Linked DNA regions of Coturnix japonica. Each later gene encodes a partner of the first gene's protein in a complex. Links are inferred from orthologs where the notes say so. Each region holds a gene or a part of one and is shown in the gene's direction. Other genes may lie near its edges. The genes, in order: NFKB1, NFKBIA and KPNA4.

Evidence for each region.
Region 2: the proteins of NFKB1 (region 1) and NFKBIA are in contact, whole or in part, in a crystal structure (PDB 1NFI), measured with the Homo sapiens proteins. The link is inferred for Coturnix japonica from reciprocal best matches to the Homo sapiens genes NFKB1 and NFKBIA. Residues at the interface, in NP_001158884.1 of Homo sapiens: Lys251, Ile252, Val253, Arg254, Met255, Asp256, Arg257, Thr258, Ala259, Pro326, Lys345, Leu348, Tyr350, Ile353; in NP_065390.1 of Homo sapiens: Asn108, Asn109, Leu110, Gln111, Arg140, Tyr181, Pro214, Cys215, Asn216, Arg218, Tyr248, Gln249.
Region 3: the proteins of NFKB1 (region 1) and KPNA4 are in contact, whole or in part, in a crystal structure (PDB 7LFC), measured with the Homo sapiens proteins. The link is inferred for Coturnix japonica from reciprocal best matches to the Homo sapiens genes NFKB1 and KPNA4. Residues at the interface, in NP_001158884.1 of Homo sapiens: Glu357, Glu358, Val359, Gln360, Arg361, Lys362, Arg363, Gln364, Lys365, Leu366, Met367; in NP_002259.1 of Homo sapiens: Arg96, Lys97, Leu99, Ser100, Ser101, Asp102, Arg103, Pro105, Phe133, Trp137, Thr140, Asn141, Ala143, Ser144, Gly145, Thr146, Ser147, Thr150, Gln176, Trp179, Gly182, Asn183, Gly186, Asp187, Asn219, Trp222, Val225, Asn226, Arg229, His230.

Annotation. Positions count from the first base shown.
Region 1 is NC_029519.1:54,743,887-54,753,437, forward strand, and holds part of NFKB1 (nuclear factor NF-kappa-B p105 subunit), read left to right. Parts: intron 1-1,213; coding exon 1,214-1,355; intron 1,356-3,345; coding exon 3,346-3,460; intron 3,461-5,472; coding exon 5,473-5,674; intron 5,675-6,668; coding exon 6,669-6,838; intron 6,839-7,667; coding exon 7,668-7,770; intron 7,771-8,634; coding exon 8,635-8,756; intron 8,757-9,551.
Region 2 is NC_029520.1:32,787,646-32,797,672, reverse strand, and holds NFKBIA (NF-kappa-B inhibitor alpha), read left to right. Parts: upstream 1-5,055; 5' UTR 5,056-5,160; coding exon 5,161-5,474; intron 5,475-5,719; coding exon 5,720-5,828; intron 5,829-6,287; coding exon 6,288-6,498; intron 6,499-6,990; coding exon 6,991-7,079; intron 7,080-7,192; coding exon 7,193-7,453; intron 7,454-7,938; coding exon 7,939-7,986; 3' UTR 7,987-8,689; downstream 8,690-10,027. UniProt on the Homo sapiens protein: Inhibits the activity of dimeric NF-kappa-B/REL complexes by trapping REL (RELA/p65 and NFKB1/p50) dimers in the cytoplasm by masking their nuclear localization signals.
Region 3 is NC_029524.1:19,639,545-19,649,838, forward strand, and holds the start of KPNA4 (importin subunit alpha-3), read left to right. Parts: upstream 1-3,797; 5' UTR 3,798-4,033; coding exon 4,034-4,102; intron 4,103-10,294. UniProt on the Homo sapiens protein: Functions in nuclear protein import as an adapter protein for nuclear receptor KPNB1. Binds specifically and directly to substrates containing either a simple or bipartite NLS motif.

The DNA of each region.
Region 1 (9,551 bases):
TTCCCTCCCTATGTGAGCCCTATGTAAATGATATCGTCTATTTCACCCGTTTGCTGTTAGCGATTCCTAACCTTGCTTTCATAGAAACTTGAGTTTGCTCAGAATATAGGCTGGTTTCAGATGATACCACTTCTCAGAATAAGGACTGTGGTTTCAAAGTTTATCTGTTTCATTCTCACTAGTCTCTGCCAATACAGAACCACAAAGTACTGGCAGAGCAGCCAGTGGCATCCCTCAGTTACGAGTGCCCCTGTACAGTAGGACAGAGTGCCTCATTCAGGCTGGGGGGATGACACAAAGCTCTGCATTTATGCCGTATTTTCTCTGTGAGTTTCTGTACAACATTTGATAGAATCATAGAACCACAGAATGGCCTGGGTTGAAAAGGACCACAATGACCATCCAGTTTCAAGGCCCCTGCTGTGTGCAGGGCCACCAACCATCAGACCAGGCTGCCCAGAGCCATATCCAGCCTGGCCTTTAATGCCTGCAGGGATGGGGCATCCACAACCTCCTTGGACAACCTGTTCTAGTGCATCAGCACCCTCTGGGTGAAAAACTTCCTCCTAATCTCTAAAATAAACCTCCCCTGTCTCAGTTTAAACCATTCCCCCTTGTTCTATCACTATCCACCCTTGTAAACAGCTGTTCCCCCTCCTGTTTATATGCTCCCTTCAAGTATTGGAAGGCCACAATGAGGTCTCCCCAGAGCCTTCTCTAAGCTAAACAAGCCCAGTTCCCTCAGCCTTTCTTTCCCATAGGTCTCTTAGGCTTCTTGTGCCTCAGTTTGCTCCAGTTGAAATCAGTCAGAGCTATGTGGGATGTTCTTGTAAGTGCTTTATGGACAAGAGTCTTTGCCTGTCACTTGTATCTGAGCAGTTCCAAGTTTCTGCTCCTTTTGTTCTCTGCACACAAATGCACGTTAATGGAATTATCAGTGCCACTCAAACCACAGGTAGCTTCCAGAGCTGGGCTGTTCTCAGGATTCCTGCTGCCCGAGTGCTCAGCGTGTGCCCCATTTCCTTCCAAGAGACTCATTCCCTCTGTCCTTTCCTCTCAGGTGTAATTAACAACCCATCTCAGCCAATCGGTAAATAATGAATGTGTGGTGATTTGCACTTCGTATTTCTGTGGCAGCACAAACCTGTGCCAAAAGAAGGTGCTGCCACAGGGAAGACAACCAAGCTAATGAAGACAAACATTTGTGTTGCAGATGGTCTGTTCCTGGAGAAGGCAATGCAGCTTGCCAAGCGTCACTGCAACGCTCTCTTTGATTATGCTATAACTGGAGATGTGAGGATGCTGCTCGCTGTTCAGCGCCATCTCACTGCTGTCCAGGATGACAATGGAGACAAGTAAGTCAGTGCTGGCAAGGACTTAGCGACAGGAGAGTTCAGTCTTTGGCAGCAGAGTGTGTCAGCATTCCATCTGCTGTGGGCGCTGATCAGGGACTGCAGCACCGCTAATCAAATGAGCATCGTTCTCCTTCGTGCTGTCTGGGAGATCAGTGCTGAGCATGGATTGCTGCGTTTGTGCCATGGGACACAGCTGATGGAGATGACCAGCTTTGTGCTGCAGAGTGTGCCCTGCTTTTTGTTCTGTGCAAGTCCTTCATTCTTCATAGGGAATTTTAAGTTCTGGATGCACTGGGCGAAGTAGAAATAATAGCTAAGAGTCCTTGTTGCTTTTCTCCTACTGATACCAAAGGGTGCTGTGCAGATTGCGTGGGACTCAGACTGAAATACAGTGAGACACAGATTATTAGTGGTTATTTAAAACCAAGCTTGGTGGAAGTGATTCTGAGCACATGCAGGGATGATCTCTCTTGAATAAACAAGTGATATTATCCCATTGTCACTTTTTAGCTGGCGGGTTGTGGACAGACCCTGTGCAATCATTCTTGTTTCCTTATTTGCAGTCTTTTGTGCAGTAGAAGCCATGTAAAACTTAAGGTCTCTAAACAGATGGAAAATCACAAGAGACTGAAGCAGGCCTCAGAGTGCTGATGCACTAAGTACTCAGAATCACTGAGAACTGATTCCTTGGCTCTCCAGCTGGCAATCTGATGAAGCTTTGAGGTTAAATGGTGTATGGATGAGGTAGGGGCTAGCAGTAAAATCTGCTGGCACTTTGGACAATACAGCTTCTAAGTGTATTTGTTGGTTTTGTTTGTTTTTAATGCAAAAAATTCCCCAGAAGATGATGAGAGTATTAATCTGTGTCCCAGTAAGAGTGACCTGCATTTAACCGTCACTGTGGTGTTCCCCAGATTTGGACTTGAAGGACATTTCAACAAAGTCAGAGTAGTTTAATCACTATGACAGTTATTTTTCCTGGATCAAGAAGTACCTGCAAGTGTGTGAGTCTCGAGTTTGTGTTGCTTTTCTCCTGGGAAGGAGTTAGACTGTGAGCGTGCAGTGCATACAAATCGCTCTGCAGCTATGGAGCAAACCAAAGTTCTGGCAGCCATCTGCCAGCTGTGTCACAGGAGCTGTTTAAGAGAAAACCAAAATTCCAAGATTTATGAATCAGTTCCCTGTAACTTTCATTGTAATCCTTACAAACATATGACAAAGACTGCGCGTTTTTTGCTGAAGCTGTTAAAAAACATTATTGACAACAGTTTTGCGCATCTTTCATGGGGACAGTCTGCAGGGAATGAAAATACCTTTGTAGAGATCCTGTGTGTTGTGTGAAGGCTTTGATACCTATGTTAATGTTAATCTGTGATCAGAGTATTCTTACAGCAGTGCTGGCTGTTACTGCATTCAGAGTACTGATCTCATGGAGTCAGAGAGTATTAAAACACAGAGTCGCTCATGTCCCTCAGCACGTTTTTCCTTTAGCAAGTGAGACACCTTTGGTCACTGTTGCAGATCCTGGGTCAGTTGGTCACTGGTCTTGAGCCCTGAGTCATTTTGCTTGAAAACTGAAACAAGAAAAACCTACAGCCTGGGGAGAGGGGAACCTCCGAGGGAAAATCTGCCTGGGTAGCAGATGAGGCCGTGGAAATTCTGGAGGAAGGCTTTGACAGGAAGAGATGCCAGTGTGCTGAGTAATTCCAAACAGGAAAAGAAACAGTGAAGGATCTGGGTATTTTGAACAGGTTCTGAGACATTTCTTTGTGATACAAAGCTTTTATTTGTTGGACTAGTAGCAAGGTCATAGTTAGGACCAGCAGAAACCATCCTGCATCTCCTTCTGTGACTGAAGGGTTACACACAGCTCACTTCTCACTCGATTTGAGGTGTCGGCCATGACTTCTAATAGTCAAATGTACAGCCCCATCTTTGTATCATACCTTTGAGAATACAGTGACAATGCTGATCTGTTATTTTGTTTCAGCGTCCTGCATTTGTCAATTATCCACCTTCATAGAGAACTGGTTAAAAACCTCTTGGAAGTGATGCCAGATATGAATTATAACAACATTATCAACATGAGAAACGACCTTTATCAGGTATGATGTTGTGGTGGTGTAACTGATGGGGATCATTCAGCCAGCAAACACTGTACTCCTTACTGTCCTATTGTCCTTCTATTCATCAGAATGAGCCCAGATCAGATAGTGAGGCAAACAGGTTTAGAACTGCACAGACAGAAGAACGCGGTGACATGCTGTAAGGAGGTGGAAGAACAAGGGTGTGCTTTTTCCTCTGTTAATTCCTAACTGCCTTGGTGTTAAGAGAAATGTCTCCATTTGTTTATCATAGAACAGCCCCAAATCCTACTGAATTCTTCAGTTTGTATTTTCATTATGTGGCTCCTCTATTATTAAACCAGAGATGTGGCGACTTTGGGATCTTTCAAACTTTGTAATGCAGGACAACTCAGGGTCATGATTGAGTTGCTGAAGAAGCTTGTAGCAGCTGTGTCTTTCTGTAGCCTAGAAGGTCCTTGTGCCCGCTGTATGAGCACCAAGGTTTCTCTTTTGTTTCTTGGCTCACAGTGTAACATTTAAAGCACACAAAAAAGCACGTCTTTTACCCAGCAGGGAAGTAACTGTCAGCAGCCCAGCACAATTATCTCCTTATCTGTAACACAGACTGAGCTTCTTCTGCTGCAACTTAGATGGGCTTTAAAAAGAGCTGTGAAAACTTGCCAGTACAAGGAGCTCTTTTCAGCCATGCGCACCATTCCGTTGTCCTAAAGGCACCCAGCTGGATGGCACACAGAGCACTTGTGAGATTGGTGCCATTTCTTTCTGTTCAGCACCAAGCTGTAAACGGTAAAGCCAAGGCTTCATTCTGTGCAGATAATCTCAGAGGCTTTATTGCGACTTCTTTCTTCTCTTTCATGTTTCGTTTTTGTGTTCGCATAAAGGAAGTTCGAAATGTGGAAGGTGATGAAAGCAAGAAGATTCTGAATTGAATTTCTGTGCCCTCTGTTTAACAGAAACAGGAAGTAAAACTGTGCCCCATACAAGAAATAAATCTCAAACTACCAGACTTCTCCAGCTGTTCTACCTTCCACTTTAACCTTAAGCCAGTGATGGGAGGAAATGCAGGTTGAGTCTAAGGTTTTCTTCTGCACAGATACTCTGAAAGATGAATCATGCTTTGTTGTATAAATTCAAGTAATTAATTGCAAATACATTGGCGTTTCCACTGACAAACACAAGCTTATTGTATAGAGCTGAAATTAGTTCCTTTTTTACAGTCATCTGTAAATATAAAAATAATGATATGGAGATAGAATCTTCTGTGTTTTTCAGATTGTTTTATTGTGAGGAATAGGATTTCCCAAAGCACTGCAGTGCCTCACTGTTCAGTGTATACTTTGTGATTGGTGAAGCTTCTTACTGACGAGGATGCAGAATACAGTTAACCTTTGGAAAAGCCTGAAATCTCAGCCTGAGAGCCTCAGTGCTGCGGGTGTCTGTGCAGAGATGGGAACCAGGCAAACAGTATCAGCTCGATGACGTTGTGCACTCTGAGCTTTGACAAACAGAACTGCGAGTTTTTTCTGCTTTTTGTATGTAGCTGTTTTGAAGGATAAGGAGATCCTAAACCTGTGGCTGGGAACTTTTAGGAGCAAAATTAGAGTATGGTTCAGTTGCGGAGGCGGAGCTGAACAGGCTCTATAAAGTGTGTGCGCTCCTTCTGTGGCAGGAGCTTGGCAGGGGGCAGCTGTAAACAGGGTTATTACTGCCTCTGGGAGTACAGGGATTCTCATTTCCCAAGTCCCTTGCATGACAAACAGCCAGGTTAGTCCCCCAGTGCACAGAGCAGGCAATGTCTGCCTTCCTCCTCAGGTCTGACTGCTGACACCAGTGAGGTGGCTTTTATTTCCACTAAGTAGAAACCCTATCTGTATTATACAGCAGAAGAAAATGTACAGAAGTTTTTCACCTGCGCCAGCATTAAAAGTGGAGCAGCACCCCACAGGAGGTGCTTTTATTGGCTCAGCCGATTTCTGTAAAGGCGTGTAGTTGCCGCTCATCTTCTCATGGCTCACTTCTGTCCCTTGCAGACCCCCTTGCACCTGGCAGTAATCACAAAGCAGGCAGAGGTGGTAGAAGACTTGCTGAAGGCTGGAGCAAATGTCAACCTTTTGGATCGCCACGGTAACTCTGTCTTACATTTAGCTGCTGCTGAAGGAGATGACAAGATTCTGGGTCTGCTCCTCAAGCATAAGAAGGCATCTTCAATGATCGACCTTTCCAATGGTGAAGGTATGGAACAATAGTGCCTGTACTTCACATTTACTTACTGCCTAGACAAGCACCGCACCATTTCTGACAGCCCAGCCTTTCTACATAGATACAGACTTTGGAAGTCGCATCTTTCCATGGTTTGCGCATTATATCCTTGGCTTTTACACACCTGCAGTCAGCTAAGAGAACAAAGACGCGCAGGCTTTGTGGTTAGACAGAACACAGAGGTTGACAATGTCCGTATTGCAGTGTGAATTGGAACTTTTTCTTCTTCAATATCACAGAATTTCAAGAGCTACGTTCCTCTTGAGCTGCCCTACAGAACCACTGTTAAAGAAATTCCACCTGAAAATATTTCCTCCTCTCTAGTGAATGAAATCCCCTCAAAAGGCATTTCTGGACCTGTGTCAAGTATCACCTCTGGAACTTTGGGACCACAGAGTCTTAAAGCTTATAAAATACCCATGGAGACCCAACTCTCCCACTATTTAATGGCACGGGTCATTTGAATATAGTACTCTTGCACTAGGTGTAGATAGTAAAATACCTGACCTAAAAATGTCATTATGTGAATTAAAAACCTGTGTTAAGTTCCTCAGAGAGGGTCTATTCTTCTTCTTATTTATAAATAGAAAGCTTTATGATTCTCTTTTTGAGCCGCTGCAGTTAATGTTGAGGTGCCAGGGCTGTCTGACCTTAACGAGCATTAGTCACTCTCCAGGATGTTTCAACAACATTCTAAGGTGAGCTCTTCCTTCTTCCCTTCTGTTCCAGCCCTGCTATTAGCTGATTGTTTTTTTTATGCATGGTTTCTAGTCCCCATCAGTAACACAAATAATTCCAACTTTGTGCACAAAGAACATTTTAATTAACACCATTTTTGGTGCTTAGACAGGCAAAGGTGCTCAGATAAATACAGTAACACTCAGTCATTTTGTAGCTGCTTAAGAAGTCATCACTGTGACATTTCTGTGTTGTTCAAGTGTTAATGTACACAAATGGTTCTGTGCAGGTCTCAGTGCAATTCACATGGTGGTGATCGCCAATAGCTTGTCCTGTCTGAAACTGCTGCTTGCTGCTGGAGTTAACGTCAATGCTCAGGAACAAAAATCTGGACGAACTGCATTGCATTTAGCTGTTGAACAGGAGAACATCCCCTTGGCAGGCTGCCTTTTGCTCGAGGTGAGGGCAGAAGTTCTTTTCCCCTGGTCTTCCCAGAAACATATTTTCAAGGCTTTTTCAATATGTCAGCCTTCAGTGGAACCGAAGTCATGTTTCTCTTTATAGACTCGATTACTTTAACCAGCATAATGGCGAAGTTATCGCTAATGTTATTTATTTGCTATTAGTCATTCAGCACCGCTGATGAACCTTTTGTAAGCTGAGAAATATAGTTGGTGACCCTGACCTGACTGCCTGCGCCGTGCTTAATTTGCACTGAGTAACCCCAGCAGCCAATGAAACGACTCCCGAACAAGTTGCTGATCGGGTGCGGTGGAATGTGTGTGCAGATGTGCAGAGAGATAGCTGTGTGTATCTGTAAATATTTGTCTCATCTCTCACACCTTGATCTCAGCACACTTAATTGGGCACACCCACAGCTACCTGCAGTAGCTCCCCTGGGTATGGAGTACAGCTGTGCTACCGGCCCGTCTGCTCTGCTGAAGGGCAGCAGGAAGGCAGCTCTCAGTGCACGGCAAATGCTGCGGGTAATCTGATAATAGAACTATTATCTGATTAGTATTATGGGATGCAAAGTGGCTTTTGAGCTGTATCTACCTGGTTCACTCAGCTGCCTCCTGCTGTGGCACTGCAGAGCACAACCACTGTCTGTTACTGGTGCCAACAGTTGTAGTCACTTTCCGATTCATTCTTTTCAGACAATTGGAATTCTTGTGCAAACAGGCACGGAATGGTGCTGCTTGCAGAGCAGTGAGGTTCATGCAGACACAAGTCTCTATGCAACAGTACTGTATAGATAATAGCATTTTTCTTCTCTTTCAATACTTAGGGTGATGCAGATGTGGACAGCACTACATACGACGGCACAACGCCTCTTCACATAGCAGCTGGAAGGGGCTTTACGAAGCTGGCAGCAGTTCTCAAAGCAGCAGGTATTGGGTCAAGTGTTTGTTGCAGGGTTCTCTTTAACTGTGCCAGTTCAGGTGAAGGCGTTGCACACAGTCAGTGAACTTCATAATGAGCAAAAGATACCAGATGTTAAAAGCATAAAGGTTTGTTTCTCCTCTGGGAAGTCCTAGTTTCAGAGGCTCTGCTACTCTTTAGCACCATCTAATGGCTACAAAAAGCAAAGCAAAACTGTGTTAGTAAAAATACTTCCAAGCAATCTTGGAGGTTTGGGGTACTTGCAGATAGTTTTTAATATGAAGCAGACAAAAGACCCAGTTTTATAGTTGGGATAAGGCTGGACTGCTTTACAGGCATAGAAACTGGGACCACTTCTCTGCAGTTTTGAATCATGACAGTAAATTTGGTTTTGATTGTGCATTTCAATGCTTTTTTCAGTTGTGTTTCATCCCTTAATACCTGGATTTTCTCCATTGAGACAGAAATCCAAGCCTCCCCCTGCTCTGGCTGTGTGTTTGGTCTTTTAATAGCACTCCTGCTTTCTGACACTACAAAAGGGAAGCCCTGCACCAGTGCTTCGTCACATACATGCTGTGTGAGCCAAGAATGGAACTGGAAGTCAGTTTATATCATCAGATGCTTTCTTTGGGCCTAACCACACGGCTTGTCTTTTCTTCCCCATCTGTATAATGGATGATACATGGGGATGTTGTGACATTTCACTTCAGTTTATTTAGGAAAAAAACACCATTTTCGGAGTTAAAATATGTATTCTCAGTCTTGAATTGTAAACCTTCTAACGTAGCTGTTTAAACCGTGCTTTTCAACAACGTGATGTAAAACAGCTTAAAAGCCTTTCCTTAGAAATGCCTTGCACGCTTGTTCTCCAGGTGCAGATCCTCACATTGAGAACTTTGAGCCGCTCTTTGATGTTGAAGAAGATGTGAAAGATGATGATGATGAAGGGATTGTACCTGGAACAACACCACTGGACATGGCAGCCAACTGGGAGGTACGTGGGCTGCTGTCTTTTAGTACTGACAATTCGTTTAATTTCATCCAGTTATTTAAATGGTGACAAATTTCTACAGCACCCAAACTGGCATCACAAACAAACTTACTGAGCCACAAGAAACAGTGAAGTAGTATTGGAAAAAAGCTCCTCAGAGTAGCTGACTTCTGTTGAGCAGGATTGAACAGGCATTTCTTCTAAGTAGTTGCATTGGGGTTGTCAATATGGAAGAGGACAGCAGACAGAGCAGCATGTGCCTGAAGGTGCTTGTTCAGGGTCTACAAGGTCAGGGTGAGACACTGTAATAAGTTTCTCTGCTGCATGGTCTTTAGAACTGCAGACTGGATGATATGTAGTGAAAGTAGACTTTTGTGTCTTACCCAAACATTGGTTAGATTACATGGTTCGAGCTTCAGTATCCAAGTACACACAGCTGGCATGATGTGAGCATGTAAGGAGCTGGCATCTCTGATCAAATGGAGCTCGGCTGGGGAGTGCTACTGAAAAGGTGAAAATCTAGCCCAGGCTTTGCTTGAAATTACTGGCTGTAGACAGCTGCTAACTCCCCACTTAACTTCTGCTACAGCCCCTCGCTTATTGCACAGGCTGCTTCTGTGTCCTGGCAGTAACTGCCAGATGACAGAGCTTAAGGGAGATGAACTGAGGTTTATCCCTCATGGTATGCACAGGTTTTCTGTAATTTTTTTTTTTTTTTAAATGCCCATTTAGAGATTTAGTGCTGTACAACAAACAATACCACCAAAACTTGTCAAAATAATGGACAAATAACCAGGT
Region 2 (10,027 bases), on another chromosome or scaffold:
GCATTAGCCTCTGCGTTTGCCACATCCGTCCCCAGGGAAACTCCTGAGCCCACACACAACTCAGTTGCTAATTCAGGCTGCCCTGTGGCTGCTTTCTGCAGAGGGCTCCAGCTGCTCCAGCCACTTCCATATAAGCAGCATATCTGCTTACTGGGATGAAGTGCAGCCTTTGCACCCACTAACTTTAGGCATCAGAGCAAGTGAGACCCACAGTGCTTGGACTCAGAGTACAGCCAGCCCTGCTTCACCGAGCTCAGGCATTCCATTTGATCAAAATATCATCTCACACCACAGGGAAAGTCACATCTAGACTCAGCTTCAGCCTTCTGTATCCCAAATTCAAGCAGAAAGGAAAGTAGCACCTTAGTATAACCCTACTAGCTCCCCACGCCTGATGGGGACCCTGCTCCGAATTCCTACAGTGCTGCCTTTCTGCACAGTTCCATGGTGCTTCTTTCCCCACCTTTGCAAGCTTCCTTCTTGCTGGGAAAAACTAGAGGAGGTAATATTACCAAATGTCACAGCTGCCTGCAGGGGAAAGTCCCTCTGTAATTGTCAGCATGCTTCCAGTTGGTGTTTTCTGTATCAGGTGCTTCCACTCTGCCATAGGAGAAGGGGCCGTGCTGATGGGGAGCAGTATTATTTGTGTTGCTGAAGGGGAAGTTGTACTACAAGCCCATGAGATTTGCCTTTGCTCCCCCTCCCACTCCACAGCTTTTCTTATATGTAGCAGCAAGTTTTGCTGCAGCAGGCAACGAGCATCAGCTAAAGGCAAAGGCACTTTGAGCAACATGCTGTAACAAAACTTCCACGAGAGAAATGGGAATGACACCAGAGAAAACTTGCCTTCCAAGTGGTAGTAGATTTCAAATGAAGTGACCTATATTTACCCCTAAGGCATAACAACAAAAGCAGTTTAAATTTATATCGCATATCTCATCCCTAAGGATCTCCAGACATGCAAGCAATGGATTTATAAACAGCCCCACAGTTCACAGAGAGGGATGCAACAGTCAATTTAAGAGACATCAAAAATAAGACACAGACTAAAAATAAAACAAGAACTGAGTGTGGTCAGAAATGTAGATTTCTGACTGTTATGAAAAACAACCCCATGAATCTCTGGCTGGACACCCTGGCGAGCTCCATTTCTTTAACTGTGGAACAGCCTTAAGACTTTAAATGACTTAATTTGGACCTTGGCTATTCATGCTGAAAAAGCACCTCCCACGTGGTTTGTTTGGCTATCATGTCAGCCTGAATAAGACAGAGAAATATTTCCTCTGTATCCACAGCTCACAGTTTTGGGGCTGTTCTTTGACAGTCCCCAGTCAAAAATGTATGAGGGGGAGGTGAACAGCCCACTCACAGTAACACTGTGAGCTGACAAAAATAACCTGTGCTTAACTCTCTTGTGCCTACGTGGGCTTTTAAAAATTGTTTCAAATTAGCAACAGTCAAATTATCATTGGAAAGCAGGAGGGAAACATGTTGCCCTCACTGAGCACTGGATAAAGGGTTCGGAACTGAATGCTGACTGGTCCTTACCCCCTATAGCAGCTGTAGATGGGAGGACAAGGTAAGCTGATTTTAACTGCAAAACACCATCAGAATAAGTGTTTTCTAGTTAGTGTTTCTTAGCTTCCATTACACAACAACGTCTTTAATCCTTTGGATAAATAAAGGGGAATCCTATTCCAAAAGGGCACATCTCACGTGGACCGACACATGCAGGCAGTGGGTTTACTGCTTTGCTTTGCTTTGCTTTTGTTAAAAACAAAAGCCTGGGCCAAGATCCTCCTGAACGCTGTGAACTCCCTTTCCTGTTATGTTTACTCCTGGAAATTCACGGTCCCTGAGATGAAGTGGGTGGAAACAGTTAATAGATATCTGCAGGGGCAATCTCAAAAGTACAAAGTTGAGGGACCAACTCTGGTAAATCAACAGCATCACAGAGACGGCACTAGACAGTTCTCATGATTAGTGTGGCAATCAGGAAATTGCAGTTTAATGTGTTTCCTTGAGGAAGCAGCATGAGAATCTTTCGTGTACTTCAAAAATGGATTAAAATCCTACTGCCCCTTTTCCAGCAGTCAGGCACGCAATACTGCTTCTGAGCCTTGCCAGCTAGAGGCTGGAATAAAACCAAACATATTCCCCACAGCTTGGCAGCACAGCAGATGGGGTGTTGAGTGCAGAGGGGACTTGTGCAAAATCCAGTCCTCGGGTACCAGGTGCAAACCCACATGGTCCCAGCCTTTTGCATTGGCACAGTGCTGTTCAGGTATCCCTCAGTACTGTGATGTCTGTGTAACAAGGAGAAGGACCCATTTGCAGAGCATCTGCACAGCCCTTCACTGAGCACCACAAAACTGGCAGCAAAGACTCCTAACATGGTCACAAATACAAAATGCAAATACCCTGGGTCCCAAGAAGATGAATGTGAAAAGCACTCCTGTGAGATGAGCAAAATGAGTACATTCAGAGGAGAACTACTGAGCCAGCATATGCAAGAAGATAGAGGCTTTCAGGTTGGCACAGACCATGGCAATTGACTCTAACCTGTCCTGGGTCAGAACAGCTGCTCTGGCCCCAGGGGAATGCAGCATTCACGTGAGGAACTGTGCAGAGAATCTGAGCATCAGGCAACCAAAAGGACAAAACTACAAATTGAAAAGCTGATCTTGTTTCTTTCTATCATATTTATTTGTGCTTGTGGACTATGTGGGAAATTGTACAGAATGAGTGATAGAATGAGTTAATTTTCAGCAAAAGGACAGTGCCCCAGCAGCATAAAAACAACACCAATGACCTCCCCACAGCTTCAAAACCTTTGTGTCACGCTGTCTCCAACAAGCTTATGCCCTCCTCCTGGGCAAATACCATAAACAACATTGTTAGCTGAGAGGAGTTACAGAGGAGATAGCAGCTTTATTTGTTTTAATAGATCCTGCTCACCCTGCCATCCACTGGCTGCCTGCTGCTTCACACATGGACTGGGGCAAGGGCAGGGCTGGTCCTTGAGCTGAGCTTTTGGCTGCCTCACAGCCTGGGCACCAGCCATGCCTGGGGCCCTGTGGTGAGACTGTCAGAGCTACTATTAACTCTGGGACATCACTTTCTTAGAGCAAAACAAAACAGGCATCAGTGAACATGCAGCGTGGACGCACACCCACTGGCCCTGAAGCTCAGCCCCTGCTGCCAGGGGCACGGCTGGGGCACTGCAGCCAGCAGGAAGTGGGCTGACCTTTCAGCCAGAAATTGTTTTTCCATCTCCTTTCCACCATCTACAACCATCTGAAGCACCACGGCTCCCAGACGTACGTAAAGCAAGTACACCTCGGCACGTGTGCCTCCAAAATGAAGCCTGGCAAATGCTTTCTAAAAATAGCTTAAGGTTGCCTGTGACAGCAGATGGAAGTCATTTGCAGAGGCAGAGAACTTGTTTTGCTGAGCTCAGTTTCCAGCTGCTGCAGTGCGGATGGGAAGTTCTGCAGTGTAATTTCTGCATGGCTCCAGCAGAACCCTGGTGGAGGCTGCTCAGCTCAGGTCTGCACCCAGCTCCCTTCCCTGCCATGAGGCAGGCAGGAGGAGATTCATTTGATAATTAAGTTCCCCCTGCCAATTTACATCAAAAAGGGGAAACCCTTTCAAGAAGCTTGCAAAACTTTCAAAACCCCATAACCTATAAAAGAAAAAGTTGCCTGGCTTTCCTAAACCTGCCCAAAATCACCGGTGGCTGTCCCAGACCTTGAGATGAATAATGAGAAAAAGGCCAGGAATGGTATGGCTGGGCTGGAAACCAGGACCAGCTGTTTTTGGGAACCCACGTGCCCTCTCTGATCTTCCTCCCTCTTTCATCTCTGGGTTTTCTCCCAGGGCCTCTTGCAGAGAGACATCATCCCACGGGAAAGTGGCTGGAGCACATCTCGGGCAGTTAGTCAGCCAGGCCAGCAATTGCTGCAAGAGAAGAAAAATTCTTAATGGGAATCCCCCACATCTGAGTAGCAGCAGAGAAATTCACCAGGGAAAAGTTCGGCATCACTAAACCCACACTGACTTTAATCCTTATGAGAGGCTGCATTCAGCCAGCTTTCATTGCAAGCAGATGGGAGGGCACCAGTACAAAGCAGAGAGGAAAAAATTAAAATGGACATGGAATAAGGATGCTGACAGGATATAACACTTTTTAAGGGGGAAAAGGGGGTTTTTTGTTTGATTGGTTTTTGTTTTGTTTTTTTAATCTGCACAAACGTTCTGAAGGGTTCTGTAGAGTCCGTGGCAAGAACTGTGTGCAAAGAGTGGAACAGGACTTTCCTGCCTATTCCATCCCATGCCACTGAGACAGATTAAAATCTTCCACAGCAGAGAGGTGAGTTGTTACGAAGGCTGATGCCATACCTGCAGGCCTGCAGCCAGTATGACAGTTTAACACAAGTCAAGCACAAGACTGTATGAATCTCTCTAAACATATATATATATATATATTATCATTGTGACACCCTCAAGGCTTTGGGACATGGGGTCAGCGCAGACAAGCTCCTCTCTGCAGCCCTGCAGGGAAGTGTGTTGCTTCCCTCCCCCAGGACTGGTGCAGGACAGGCAGCCCCATAGGACAGGTGTGGGTGCTGCTGGGACAGCACGGGCACGAGGACAGAACACGTGTAGCAGGGTGGACTCAGCGTACCGACGGGAGCCTCTGCATCCACCCGTCTGGACAGTGACTGGCTTTACCGCGTCACTTCGCCACCAGCCGGCCGAAATATGCCCCCGGTCCGACGCAGGTCAGACGAGCGCTGGTTAATGCCTCCTCGGGGAGGCCCTCTCCCCGATCCGGGCGGGGAAGCCCCGGGCGGGCCGCGGTGCAGGGCAGCGGGCCGGGCGCCGCAGGGAAGTACCGCAGGCACCGCGTTACTCAGCGGGACGGCGAGTACTTCCCCCTCCCCCCCGCAGGCACGGCAGGGAATTCCGCCGGGCTGGGCCGGGCCGCGCTGCTTTGGGCCGGCCCCGTTCCTCCCCGGCCCGCCCCTGGCGCCGAGCAGGACCGGGCTCGCCCGAGTGGCTGGAAATTCCCGCGGCGGCGGCTCCTCCCCCGCAGAAATCCCCTCGCCGGGCTGTATAGGCGCCGCCGCCGCCGCCGCCGCCGCCGCTCACTCGCGGATGCCCGTCCGTGTCGGAACGCCGCCACCAGCAGCAGCAGCCGCGGCGCCGCGCCGCCCCTCCAGCCCCGCCGCCATGCTCAGCGCCCACCGCCCCGCAGAGCCGCCCGCCGTGGAGGGCTGCGAGCCGCCCCGCAAGGAGCGGCAGGGCGGGCCGATGCCTCCCGACGACCGCCACGACAGCGGGCTGGATTCCATGAAGGAGGAGGAGTACAGGCAGCTGGTGCGGGAGCTGGAGGACATCCGCCTGCAGCCCCGCGAGCCGCCCGCCCGGCCGCACGCCTGGGCCCAGCAGCTCACCGAGGACGGCGACACGTAAGTCGGGGCCGCGGGAGGCCGGGCCGGGGCGCGACGGCGGCGGGGAGGCGCCGGGCGGGGAGCGGAGCGGAGCGCGGAAAGTCCCTGGAGCGGAGCCAGGAAGAGGCGGCTCCGCGGTGCGGAAAGCCCCGGCTTTCGAAACCCGCACATGACTGCGGCCGTGAGCCGGGGGCCGCGTCAGCCGCGTCCCGCTGGGGGGATTTGGGTCTCACGTGGGGCGCTTCCTTTTTTCCTCGGTGCAGTTTCCTCCACTTGGCGATCATTCACGAAGAGAAGTCCCTGAGCTTGGAGGTGATCCGACAGGCCGGTGGCGACGGCGCCTTCCTGAACTTCCAGAACAACCTCAGCCAGGTACGCTGCGCCCCCGGGCCGGGCCGCCCCCGCAAAAGGCCCGCGGGGAATTCCCGAGGAGAAGTTTCTGTGTAATTGAATGGATGTGAAGTCGGAGCCCACGTTGGGGAAAGCACCTGGCTCACTCCATGCGGTGGGGGTGCAGCGCTTTGTCCTGCTGCAGCCTCTCGCGTTTTTCATACGCGATGCAATGGATCGCATTCCTCTCCATTGGGATGTTAATGATGCCCTTCCATATGGATAGAATATGTGATATCTGGAGAGCCCCAAGTCTACCATACCATACCATAGCTACCAGACTACAGAGCAGCAGTGTGCTGTGCCAGGAAGCGCTAAGAACTGACTTGCAGTACTTGCATTTGGGCAGAAGTCCTCAATAGCCACTGCAGGGTTTGTGTATTTGAACCTTTGCTAAACTTGTCACATAACTCAAAGCCGTGTGTTCCCTCCTGCCTGCAGACTCCTCTCCACCTGGCGGTGATCACTGACCAGCCTGAGATCGCCGAGCACCTGCTGAAGGCTGGCTGTGACCTGGATGTCAGGGACTTCCGTGGGAACACCCCGCTCCACATTGCCTGCCAGCAGGGCTCGCTCCGCTGTGTCAGCGTCCTCACACAGCACTGCCAGCCCCACCACCTCCTCGCCGTCCTGCAGGCCACCAATTACAATGGTACGTGTGCTCTGCCCTAGCAGAGATCTCAAGAGAAGTATCTTCTTCCCATTGGAGTGCTGAGGAGGGCCCAAAGCAAAGAAGCATCTGACTTCCTTAAGATGTTGTGGGTTCAGCCTTGCGGGCCTCCTCGCTCATGGTCATTGGCTCTCATGGGCCTTAAATTTAGTATTTTTAGTGAGTGCTTCTGCAGTACTCATAGCAGTTATGTTTTTGTGGGTTGTTTTTTTTTTTTTTTTTTAGAGGGTAAAGTTGTTACAGTAAGGCACAGTTAAAACCTAGAATAGATCCCCTAAGAAATCCAACCCAATCCAAAATCCAACCCAGTTATCCCTGTTATCAGGAAGCTGGAAAGCTGTTTTGAAAAACATGGTTTTGCCCCGGTTGATTTACTAACTTAGATACTCTTCTGTCTTATCATCTTGACTTTAAACAAGTTATGGGGCATTAGGTAAGACTTACTCAAATTTTGCCTTTGTTTTTATCTTCCAGGACATACATGTCTCCATTTGGCATCTATTCAAGGATACCTGGCTGTTGTTGAGTACCTGCTGTCCTTAGGAGCAGATGTAAATGCTCAGGTATGTAATTTATGCTATGAATTTAAGTGAGCTGTCTAGTCGGAAGAATCAACAGGTGTGACAGTGCTAAGCCTCACTCCCCTAATGCAATACCTCATGTTGTATCCAAACAGGAGCCATGCAATGGGAGAACAGCACTACACTTGGCCGTAGACCTGCAGAACTCAGACCTGGTGTCACTTCTGGTGAAACACGGGGCAGATGTGAACAAAGTGACCTACCAAGGCTACTCCCCATACCAGCTTACATGGGGACGAGACAACTCCAGCATACAGGAGCAGCTGAAGCTGCTGACCACAGCTGACCTGCAGATACTGCCCGAAAGTGAGGACGAGGAGAGCAGTGAATCAGAGCCAGAGTTCACAGAAGATGAAGTAAGTCCTGTTTGCTTCTTTTCAAGAGAAGAGTCACATCCTGCTCTTTGTTGTTTGGCTGGTACTGCAGTGAATGACCTCTTCCCTATGTAACTTTTGGGGGTTACAGCCCATGAAGTAAGGTTGTACTGCCAGCCATCAGAGGGGTGGCAGTTAGGGCAGGGTGGCAGTTAGGGCAAGGTTATAAACAGAATGAGCTTAGGAGTGAAATATAAATAATACAGTGGGTAACAGAGGGTAGCTTCACACTGTATTATTTCTCTGAGCTGATGCCTACAGAACTTAATGAGATAAAATAGTTAATGGGTGGGTTTGGTCTTCCCAGCATTTGTTTTTGTGATGGTTAAATAGCAAATGTAACCATTTCAGTGTAGAAGTTGCAGACGTACTGGAGTTAGGGCATGCAGAATTTGGCTGTTGTCCCAGAGTAGATGGGATAATCCTAGTAGGAGTTTGGCATTAACAGCACTTTGTTTTTCTTCCAGCTTATGTATGATGACTGCTGTATTGGAGGAAGACAGCTGACATTTTGAAGCAGAGGTTTCTGTGAAAAGTGACTATGTACATATGTAAAGGAAAAAGAGCCTGACTTTCTTCATTTAAAAGGAAAGTCTATACTCGAAGGAGAAAAAAGTGCTGAGATACTACACTGCCCAGCCAGGAGCACATCATGCTAACAGGTTCCATGTTCTGACCTGTGCTTAAGTAACGGGAATGGGATGTGTAACATCGTTAAGAGATCAGTGAACATGCACACCACCTGAGAACGAGCCACATTACCTAATATTCTCTGCCACATGAGGATAACGGACTGCATATCCAATGTACTGTTGTCAGAAATGCGTTTGTGAGCTGCCTTGTAACACTAAGTGCTGTGAGGAGTGCTCATCCCCTCGGTGGCAAGACAGACTTGCACAGACATCCCGTTTGCTTGAAGACTGTGAGGTTGGCATTAGGTTGAGGCACTGCTGTGCCCTGCTCCCTGACCCTGGCTGCTCAGGGTTGAGGTGCAGCAGGTGGAGGAGTCTGACCATGGAGAGATGACCTGGCTGCTGGGAAGAAGGTAGCAATGATGTTAACTGTGGGCATTGGAAACTGTGTGTTTCACACCATGTGTGTCATAATTGCTACACTTTTTAGCAACTGTATAGAATGTAAATACTGTACATTTTTGTTTATAATTATTTTGGTACCTGTGAGATATGTATTTATTAAAAAAGCAGATTTCTGTACCCAGCTTGTGAAACGGTTCATTATCCATCTCAACATGAGCTGCATGGGATCCATGAGGTTAGCTTTTTCAGAGATAATTGATATGTAGCAGACATAGAGGGTCAGAGGTTGGGGCGTTTGGGGTAGTTCACTGGCAGGAGGCGTAGGACATGTAAACAGCTTTCAGCTTCCAGTGCTTCGGCTGCAGCTAATTTTAGCAGCGCACGTAGGTGTAGCTTCCTGTGCCAGTTGTTGCAGGCGGGCAGGGGGCTGGGATTCCCCTCTGCCTCACAAGCGTCAGGTCGTGCATGCTATGGAGAGACTGAGTCTATTTTCAATGAGAGCTGCTTGCTTTAGGGGCATCTGTTTTGTTTTTCCTTTTTCTGGCTCCTGGTGTCCATGGGTGCAGTGAGGATGCGGAGTGTAGCTTTAAACCTGGCTACTCTTGTACTGACTTGCTCAGGGACATTTTCAGAGCAGTCCTGTGCTTGCCTACCCTCTCGTTTATCACGGCCTGACTCTGGTTTGAACTTGGACATCTTCAGACTTTCCAAAGGGGATTTCCACAGGAAGGAGTGCATGCCTGGGAAGGAGCACTGCTGCCTTCCCCCAGGCTGCAAGCAGGGGCCTCCCCTTCTCCCTTCTGTGGGAGCTGCATTTCTCCCTGCCCAGCCTGCAGCTATGAAGTAAGTGCCCTTCACACATTTCAGTTATTCCTCTATGTTTTTCCCAGGAATTCATGCAGATAGAATATTTCTGCTCAAACTCCCATCTGCATCTGATCGCCTTTTGGCAGTGTGGTGCAGAGAAGGCCTAACTTTAGATGCAGATACTAGAACAGCATGTGAGAAACATAACAGTGATTGCTCAGCTGAGTGAAGCATGACCATGACCAGCTTTTGGGCTGCATTTCACCTGTACCACAACCTTGGGATCAGGATGGGGTGTGTCAGAGCTGCTGACGCAGGACAGAGCTCTGCCAGGAGCACTCACTGGAGGACTTTTGTGCAGCTGACAGTCAAGGCTCAAAATCCAGTGTGGGTGACAATGGCTCCAGGTTGCACATGGGGACCCATTTCCTCTCTCGTAAGGGATTTCTGATACAACCTGTGGAAAGGGCTGTTTGGTACGAGGAAGAGCGCTGCATCTGCCTAGGTGCTTCTTAATTTGCATGGGAGCCAAAGGTTGTTGTGGAAGTGACTGTACAGAAATTGTCATCCTGAGTCATTTGTATTTCCCCTCCACTCTCATATCATTAGAATTGCCCAGGTGTATGCACTGGAACTTCCTTCTTGTAGAAAGGGCCATTCCTGAAGTTCAGGCCTGCAACATTTTTCAGGATTGGGTCTGGGCAATAGTCTT
Region 3 (10,294 bases), on another chromosome or scaffold:
ACACCCACAGCTTTTGGATGTGACAGAAGCATCCCATGGCATGAGAGAATGGCCCCCACGTGAGAGTGAATTTAGCCCAAAGATATGAGAGCTGTTACAACCTCAGAAAGTTCCCTAAACGTTATTTCTGCTCATGCACTGTAGCAGCACCTGGCATTGACTGCATGGGCTGGATTATCTTTCAATGCAGGGTAAATCATTTCTCCCCCAGCCCTGGCTGCAGAGCAGCACTGTGTTGCCTTCCTAGGGGTAACTGCAAGGCCTGAGATGAACACAGACACTTGTCAAGGGTGGTTACATTTCAAAACATGAGATTACTGCACTACATGTTGTGTATAGTCAAGAGTTCGTGGTCTGCATATTTCACTGCTGTCATGCAAAGGCCTTTGGGCAGCTTCTAACAAAAAGCAACTTTAAACAGCTGAGTAACAATTTAAAGATTGTTTAAATTTCACTGTGAAAAAGTGAGGAGAGAATCAAGGCAGAAGGCTGTACTTTGTTTTGGACTGAGTCATTTATTTAAGGCAGCAGCATTCATGTATTTCTAGCTCAAAAGGGATGACATGCATCCACCCCAGGTGTTTCTTCAGTGCACAGTCTGTCATACGTAACAGCAGCACTCATAGAGTAGAAATCAACTTTTCTCTTAGATTTAAAAGTCATACTGTCTTTTGCAAAAGCACAACTTTGAATTAGTTCCCCTGAAGCAACCTGGGGCTGTTAGTTCAGAGGGGAGGCCAGAAATACAAGCACAGCGTGTGCTGCTCACAGCCCAGTGCTGTGGTGTAGGGTCTGCACAGGCTCACACTAAGGGCTGTGTGCTGCCTTGTTTCTGGCACCGTTACGCCTCCACCTGCCCTCTGCTTCAGCAGAAAAAGGTCTGTCAGCACCTCCATCTCCCTCCAGAAAAGCTTTTGATGTTAAGGAGCTACAACAGAGCACTCTGGGGAGAAGTGAGAACAAGTGCAAAAGAGCCTGAGCTGCTTCATGGGGCCTGAGCAAACTGCGGTGTTTTACTTGAACGGGTCCTCTTCAATCTTACGCAGTGAGTTCTTTTGTAATGATGTCCATTTCAAAATGAAGCCCATTTTGTGAAGCCCAGTTCTGCGTTATCAACTATTTTTTAATGTCTTTCTCAACTGGAGCAGCATTCACAGCTGATCCCAGTTCGAGTTCAGGTATTACTTGGTAATGGCTGTTTTAATGTCCAGCAAGCACAGTTGGATTCCAGACTTGGAAATGCTGCCTGTAAAATAAAAGCATATATAGCTGTGTTTGCACACCAAGTAAAAGATTATCAGAAAACACCCGACCAGCAGACTAATATCTACTTTTTCGTTAATACTATTCCATTTTGAGCCTGAAAAGGCACATAAGCCCAAGGATTAATGAACATTTTTCTACGTACGAAACAAATCTTCTCAGCTTTACGTAATGTTTTGTTCCTTACACTACAGAAATAGCTTTACTGGCCATGGTAAGCCATTTCCAGCAACTCATTTTACTCAAATGAACCAAAATTTCTGCTTTTTGTTAAAGGAAACCACCAGACCAACGTCACGAGATCAGGAGCTCAGAACTGTTCCTCAAAACAAGCCTTCCACGTGCTGGGAGATTTGCAAGGCAGATCCGAGGTAAAATCAAACCAATACAAAAATAAGTTGGTAATTGTTCCTCTGAGAGCTAAACAGATTAATTAGGCTGCAGTTAAACAAAATGCACTTGATTAATCTCTGATTATGTCTTCACTTAAGACAGACAGTAAATTATTCTTCAGATGATACCAGATGAGAAATACGGATCAAAGGCTGCTGAAGGGTAGTCTTCCTCCGAACATACATAATTTAATAACAGTGAAGCATGCTCTTGAATTTTATATGAAGGTACATGGTGAGAAAACTACGCATGCCAGAATGGTCTGTTAGATCTGTGGTCGCAAGGCAGGTGTCGATTTGAAGGAAGGTTCTCCAAGGAATGCCGAGTGATTCTCAGCTGTTTTCAAGTGGTTACTCATGAGATGACACGGCTGTTGTTCAGTTCCTCCTTTCGGTCAGTCTTTTTCCAAGAACCGAGAGGTAGTGCTAAGAGAGATGATTTAATGGAAAGGTCATTGTTACTTGTTGGGGCATTGAGTCAGTTTTGGTCACTAGAGAATGCTCTGGCTTTCCAATTCCATCCTTCCCAAACTACATGCTGTGTAATCAGTCAGTGCTCAGTGTGGGGACAGTGGGAGGTGGCAGAGGTGGTAAGTCGGCCTGTTTAGGTTAGTAAAGACAAGGAAATGGTAACTAGGGGATAAAACTTTTCTTCCCTTTCATAAACTTCTGGGTCAGCCCTTAGACGCTGTGTGTTCCTCACCTTCATAGCCTGACTGCTTGTCATCTTAAGGCATGATCAGAAACCAGGGGAACAGAGCCCAGTTTCATTATTAGTGACCACATTCTACAGAGACGGAGCCTCAATTGTGCATTAATGTCCTGGTTCACAGAGAAAACACTTTGAGGATGCAACTTTATAGAAACCACTCTGCAAAAGTCCTTCCCTGGGACTCAGCAGCTGTTCCTCCATGGAAGGACATTACAACTAACCAGCACGTTCACGATAGTTCTGTAAGGCACCAAACAGCCTCTGAGACCAATGATTTCATGTCATTCTGTTACAGCAACTCTTCAATATCTGTACTTTAACTATTTTGCCAAGCTCCAAAGCAGTTTCACTTTTGAAAAGCCTTTATTTCCTTCTGTCTGCACGTAACTTCCTCAGCAGGAGTAAAATGTTAACTGCACAGATTAATCAGTCAAAATTCACAGTGCTTCACCTCTAGTTTTCACTTAAAATAATACTTAAGCTGTTAAACTTTTGTTTTTAGGTGTTCCTTCCTGGATTCTCTTCAAGCTCCATCCCTTCCAGGAGCACAGCTACATGTCTCTCACCTGTGCTCCCACAGCTGACCCGACACTTGGCTCAGCTCATTGATCAGAGGATCAGGCTGTGGTTATCAATATCCCATATAGACACGTAAAGAAAATATCTTCCTTGTATACCAGACTGCAACGCGCAGGAGTTACAGCTGTAGCTTCAAAAGATGGTTTATATATTGGTAAAACAACAAAAGATGGTTTATATATTGGTAAAACAACAAAAGATGGTTTATATATTGGTAAAACAACAAAANGTTTATATATTGGTAAAACAACAAAAGATGGTTTATATATTGGTAAAACAACAAAAGATGGTTTATATATTGGTAAAACAACAAAAGATGGTTTACATATTGGTAAGATGAGATATGCTGATATATTTATGGAGACTGAATATACCAGGCACTACCCTGAGCAGTAACTTTCTAACTTTCATTATTAGTTCAAGTTGTGTTTCTTTGCTGCTACAATACAAATTCAGGGAAGACTTTCTCCAACTGCCAACACTTTGTGCAGCACAGAGCTAATATTTTTGTCATTAATATTAATTATTATTATCCTGGCAGGCCACAAGGAGCTAACACACAGTGTATTACTACAAGCTCTGGGTGGTTTCATTGCGATTAAACAGCGATACCAGCCCCCCCCGCCCCGTGGCTCCGCTCAAGATGGCGGCTCCGAAGCTCCTGGAAGGGCTCCGTCCCCTCCCCCCCCTCCCCGTCACCTCACACGTCACGGCGCCGCTCAGCTCCCGCCCTCTCCCTCCTCGCTCCCATTGGCCGCCTGCCGCGGGCTGCTCGTCCAATGGTCGCGCTGTGCCGTGCGGCCCAGAGCGAGGCTGTGTGTCTCCCCTCCCCCCGCTCTGCCCGTCCCCGGCTCCGGCTCGTTCGGCGCCCGGCAGCGGCAGCGCCGCCCGCAGCCCGCACAGCGCGCACAGCCCGCACGGCCCCGGCAGCGCCCACGGCCCGCACGGCTCCTACGGCCCCTTCGGCCGCTGCCGAGAGCGGCCCGCGGTGGGTCGGAGCTACAGGGCCACGGGTCCGGGAGGAGAGAAAGGAGGAGGAGGAGGAGGCGGAGGAGCAGCCGCGCTCCCTCCCACCTTCCCCCCCGCCATGGCCGACAACGAGAAACTGGACAACCAGCGGCTGAAGAACTTCAAGAACAAAGGCCGTGACCTGGAGGTACCGCCCGGCGGGAGGGGCCGCCCGGCCATGGCGGCGGGAGGGACGGAGGGAGAGAAGGAGGGAGGGAGGGAGAGGGGGCCGCCGTGTGGCGTCTTTCCTAATCCGCCGCCGAGGGGCCCGCGTTGGGGCCTTGGCCTGCACCGCCCGCACGGCGAGGGAGGGCCGGGAGGAAGGGGAAGGGAACGGAACGGAAGGGAAGGGAAGGGAGAGGAAGGGAAGGGAAAGGAAGGGAAGGGAAGGGAGAGGCCGCGCTGCGCGCTCGGGTGCGGCCGTTGGGCTCCGCTGGGGGTGGAGGCGCTGAGGGGCAGCGCGGGGCTCCATGAACGCGCCGGGCCGGGCCGGGTCCCTGCGGGCGCTGCGCGACCAGGCGGCGCTGAGGCCCCGCGGCTCATCTCGGCCATGGAAAACATGAGTCAGGGCCGGGCCCGCGGAGAAAGCGGCTCCTCGGCTCCGCTTTGTACCAAACGTCGTTTTAAATCACTTCTTGTTGTTTCTTTCCCTATCCGGGGCACATATCGCTCTCGTAGCGCTGTGTGGAAGCAGTCGTGGGATCAGCGTGCCGTGCTGAACTTGTGGGTGGGTTCCTCCATCCCTGTGTGTGCTGCTCCGGGACTGAATTAATGGGGTTTTCTGCAGCAGATATGCAGATCCTGGTGCTCGGTATCAGTCTCGCCCATCACTCCCGGCCCTGGGGGAGGCTCTGTGTGCTGATGGCAGTGTGAGGCCGTGGTTGAGCTCAGGGCTCTGGCCTTCACATTCTCTTGATGTTTGGCCCCGCTGCGTGTCCCTATGGTTACAGTGACATGACATCCTGGGCCTTCTTGTGCATTGCTGAGTGCCCCGTTCATCCACATGAAAAGTAAAGGCTGCATTTATATCGCTGTCACTTGCGAAAGCATCACCCGTGTTTCCCACTCGAGGTATCACTGGCTCCTGTTGGATCAGGCAGTTTATTATGGAGTTACAACATCCAGTGGTGCCAAAAAGAGGTAGAAATGGGAACAATTGCCACAGTGACTGCGCTGTTGGTAAACAAAGATGTGTCCATGGCTCCTTGGCTCTGTTGGTAACTCCTGCCTCAGGTATTTTTTTGTGTATGAATGTTTTTTTATTGCTGAATAAAAAACTGCAAAAGGAGTGAAAGTTTGGGAGGACACTCAGGGAAATCTATGCTAACATTAAAATGAAAGCAGCAGCGGGGGGGATAAAAACAACACAGGAATTCATTGGGGTTTTCTGTCCTTTGGTGCCTCCATGCTGGGGGTTGAGGCAAGTCAGCTCCGTGCTCAGGAGCATCACGCCCAGTGTGTGTTATTGCAGGTGTTTGTGAATGAAGGAGCAGACAATCTCTGGTCCTTCTCTGAATTTGCTGATGCGTTTCAGTGTCCTGCGCAGTGAAAGCAGCACTCCCAGGCCGTGTTAAATTTGAGATACTGACATCTACCCAACGACTCTTGGAACTTACGTTTGCTGCCTAAAATAACCGCTGTGGATGGTTATTTTTCACACAATAGCTCAGGCTCCCAGCTCTGATTCTGATTTTCTCCCTGCTTACACGCTGTGTTTTGCGTTAGAGGTGAGGTATTGCCAGGCCCTCTCACAGCTCAGTATCCTGTGGTAGCAACAGTTGCTATTCAGCCGGTTCATGGCACGTGTGTTCCTGCCCGGCTTTAGCTGGAAAATGTCTATTTACTTCACACTGGCAGCCAGTGTTTGATCGTTATCTCTTCCCCTCATCTTGCCTCCTTCACTCCTCCCCCATTTAACCTCTGCTCAAACCGTGCTTTTACCCATCGGTTTTATACTCAGCACTCGGGATCTTTCTTTTCTATGACTGTTTGCCTCCATTTGCTGTACCAAACAAACCACCAGTTATGCTGGGTATTATTTTGGGGGATGCCGAGTTACTGGGCAGCTCTGGGGGTAGATGCAAAGTGCAGACTTGAAAAGAAAAGAAGGTTTTTGCTTATAGTCACTGGGCTGAGCATGGCGAGGTGTTGAATAGGAGCTGATGCTGTCTGTGTGTTCAGCTTCCAGCTGCAGGGAGGTGATTGTGCCTTGCAGATCACGGGGGATTTCCAGCGTTTTCAGAGCTGCTGAGTGTGTGTTTGACTCTTTGGATTCTTCACACTGGTTTTATTTTCACTTTCCAGGCTTTCTCAGTGGGCTTCTGAAGGCACAAGGGCTGCCCTTGAAGAAAGGAAAACAAAAAGACGCCTTTTACATAATGATATTTAGCATAATTCCTTCATGCACTGAAGTATTGGGTAAACATGCGTGCACGGGCATGTTACATTGTAAACAATTGCCGCCACGTGTTTTAAAATGACAGATGGGTGACAACAGTAGGAATAGAGGGGTTCATTGTGAGCAGGAACACAAAATGTTTGCTTGTTCTGCCTTTTATTTGTAGTGCTGGATAAAGGAATCGTAGAAGGCTGATGATACTCGGTATCTGAGGGTCCTGTGGCAGGAGAGATCAGTCTGCAGCCAGCACGCAGGCAGGAGCTCTGTAGCAGTGAACATTGCAACTTACACACACATGGAGCTGTGCAGCTCTTCTAGGGCTGGAGTGTCAGCACCAGAAAGGAGGAATTGCACTTTAGTGGCTTGGAGGAGGTGGCCTTACAGAGCTACAGGAGCAGCCACTTACATCAAAAACCCCATCCATACTTCAGTGAGTGCTTAGCGAGTTGTGCACTTGGTAATTACTTGGAAAGTCAGCTATGGTAGCTTTGACTTTTTTTCCACACTTCTTCAATGAGAAACAGGTTTTGCTTGGCCTTCATTTTATTCTTTTCCCTTGCATAAAAGAGGATGAGTTGTTTTATTTTCCAGCATTTGTTGTACAAACGCCTCAGAATCAAATCTTAAGTCTTTGCTATACAAAGGATAAGTGAAAGCTGTTCCTGGTGTCTGCAGCAGGCGCAGGTTTGTGAATGGGTTGGTTTGCAGTAATTGCTGGGTGCTGCTCCAAGAGCTGTGGAGTGCAGCCGTGCTGCTGGAAAGGAGCTTTGGGTGCCTTGTTTCCTCAGGTGCTGTGTCTTATTTTGAGTTAATCAGTGCATGCTGCAGCCTTCAAGTCTGATTGGCATGTAGGTTATTGTGAAATGACATCCAAGATGTATGTTATGCAGGTTATCTCTGGAAGTGCTGGAGGCAGACGGTGGGTTTGTCCACCTTTGGTTTGTCCACCTTTTCTTCCCTGCCTTGCCTGTATGTTATTGAGAACTGCTTTAATAGTGCCAACACAGAACAAGTGTCAGACGTTCCTGTTCTGTGAGCGAGAGGAGCGTGGTAAAAACTGCTGCTGGTGTGATGCGGGTACTTAATTGGAAACAAACACGGAGTGGCCATTGGGTCTGAATGTTTTCCCATCTGCTGTTGTCAGGACTTGTATCAGTTGCCAGTGGAGGTCACTGGGCTTGTGACACTAAGGGTGTATTTGGGAACACCAAGGAAGCTTCAGAGCATTGAAAGGAGCACCCTGAGATTCACAGGTAGCTGGAGCCTCTTGTGCCTCTTCCATAACCCGCACAAGGGGGTTTGTGTGAGATTCCTATGGGGGACTGAAGGAGAGCAGGAATCTCGCTCCCTGGGAGCTGGTTAAAAATAGGCCCCGTTACGCTGACTTGCAGTTCTGTGAGGAAGCTCAGACGCTTTGTTGTTTAAAAGAATCGTACTGAGTTACTTGTTTGTATAAAGCATTGCAGTTGGAGTACACAGCTTCTGCAGGACAAAGCCGGAATGGCTGCGTGTGCAGTGTCATTGCTTTTTATCTGTTTATTACTTTTATTCCTTTGCACTGAGAGTTCCCATTGTAACTCTAAAGCGGAAAGAGCTGAGATGTGTTTTTCTGGTGGGACCTTGTGGGGATGGTTTACTTTAAAACTCTGCAGCATTTTTATGGGTGATGTTGAGGGCAGGATTTAGTGCTGCAGTCTGCAGGTGAATCAGAATTAGTATAGGAGGGAAATAATGGGTAAAGGAGGGCCCGAGTCACTGCTTTGGATTTTTAACAAGTTCAAATGTGAGATACATACAGCTCCAGAGCACATCCTTACCTTTGGAGTTCAGTGCCTTCTTAGGAGGAAGTTTTTCCCCCAGAGGGTGGTGATGCACTGGAACAGGTTGCCCAAGGAGGCTGTGGATGCCCCATCCCTGCAGGCATTCAAGGCCAGGCTGGATGTGGCTCTGGGCAGCCTGGGCTGCTGGTTGGTGACCTGCACACAGCAGGGGGTTGGAACTGGATGAGCACTGTGGGCCTTTGCAACCCAGGCCATTCTGTGATTCTTTTATACCTGTGAGGCTCCTTTGCCATTGCTGTGGGAATGGAGCAGCCTCCTCATCTGCTCTGGGCTGCTTCCTGAGCAGCGGGGCATGGAGGTCCCTGGTAGTGCCCCCTTCCCCTGCTCACCTGTGGGTGCTGTGTTTTTATTTGCAGTCCAGGCTTGTGATAGTGTAGAGAAGCAGCTCTGCTTTAAACTGCCTTTGGCAGGGCATTTACTGCAGTGGGAGAAGTAGGTGAAGTTCTACCATTGTTTGTATGCTGTCAGGCTGTCGTAGGTGCACAAGTAGCTGCTGAAGTGAAATATTTCATGACAGCAATCCAGTCCTAAAGTGTGCACAGGAGAGAATGAAGATGTGCTGCTCCATGGGAGGGTCAAGTTCTTGAGAAATATGGACTGGAGAAAGAAGTGCAAGGGGCCTGAGGTGTGTTAGCTCTGGGTATTGGGGCTGCTGGGCTGATGGGACTGAGCTGTCCCTGAGCGTGGGGCCTAAAACTTCTGTATTGGGCATTGCAAACATGAACATATTGGCATCCTGCAGCTCATAGAAGATCGTACTGATAGGCTGAAGGACTCAGGAGTGATGAATGGTCAGAAAACGGCCTTTATGATAAAAATGTTCGGAGCTAAATATACTGAAAAAAGGGGTAGCAGCGGTAGGTTGATGAAAATAGATTTGATTACTTGATTTCTGATGTAGAGCAGAATGAAGTGACTGAAGGAGCCAGATGAATTCATCCTGAAGTGATGCCGTGGAGCAGTTGCCAAGGAAGGAGCGTTCAGAAATCTGTTTCTAGAAACTTGTAAACGGAGCTGGTTTGCTAATGGCTGCGTTAGTGCAAGGTGAGACGGCTTCAGAACAGCTCCACAATCACATCAGATCTTCTCCAGAGCCGAAGGTGACACTGGAGAATGCAGCTGTATGGTGCCATCTGCCAAGGAAGTGGTGTGTCTTGATTTCTTCTCTTGGCGATGATTTCTGACAAACAACACAAGTTTATCCCAAGTGTTGTTGCTATTTGGGTTTTTCAGAGCAGCCCATTCCATTTCCAGCAGTGATAATAGTACCGTGCAACTCCTCCGCTTCATCTCTTCCTCCTTGTGTATTTTCCTTTCCTGGAAGGCAGAGCAGTGACGGGCTGAACCAACAGCAGCTTCATCAGCCCGGCACTGTTTGCATAGAAAGTGACTGCAGGGAGCCCTGCTTTGAACTGCTCTTAAGAGTGACTTAAGTGGTGCTTTGTTTGTGCAGAGGCTTGTGCAGGTCCATGGCAGTCGGGTCCTTTCAGAAGCAGAGAGGAACTCAGGCTGCCAGCCCTGCAGCTTCCTGTTGGTTTTGTTTGGGGTTTTTGTTCTGTTGGTTTTATTTTCTGGAGGAGGATCCTTTTCCTTTTCCATTGGTGCTGATGGGTTCACAGTGTTTGGAAGCCTGAGCAGTACAGGTGACTTCTTTTGATTTATTTATTTATTTTTCCAGGTAAAGAAACCTTGTAAAAGTTGTGCCCAAGACTTTTTTTGCTTGGACTATCTGCTTTAATTCCACCCTTTTCTCCCCGTTTCTGTTACACGTGTGATATGTGCTTGTTCTGAATGAGGGTTTGCTACCACCGAAGTCATAACACTGTTAGTTGTGACTATATGGCTTTTAACAAACCCTTATAGTTTCATTTCCCTTTACGGTTGGCTTCCCAGCAATGCAATTTCCCACTCTTTTGAAACTACGCAGCCCGTCTCGCTCTTGGTTAGCAGCAGCCTTTCCCCTGTAGGACAAACTCAGACAGGAGGGATCTGGGTTGGATGTTGAGCAGCAGTTCTTCACCCCGAGGCAGTGAGGCCTTGGGCAGCTGGAGCTGCTGGGTCTGCCAGCCCATGGCCACCTATCATAGGGAAATGGAGCTTA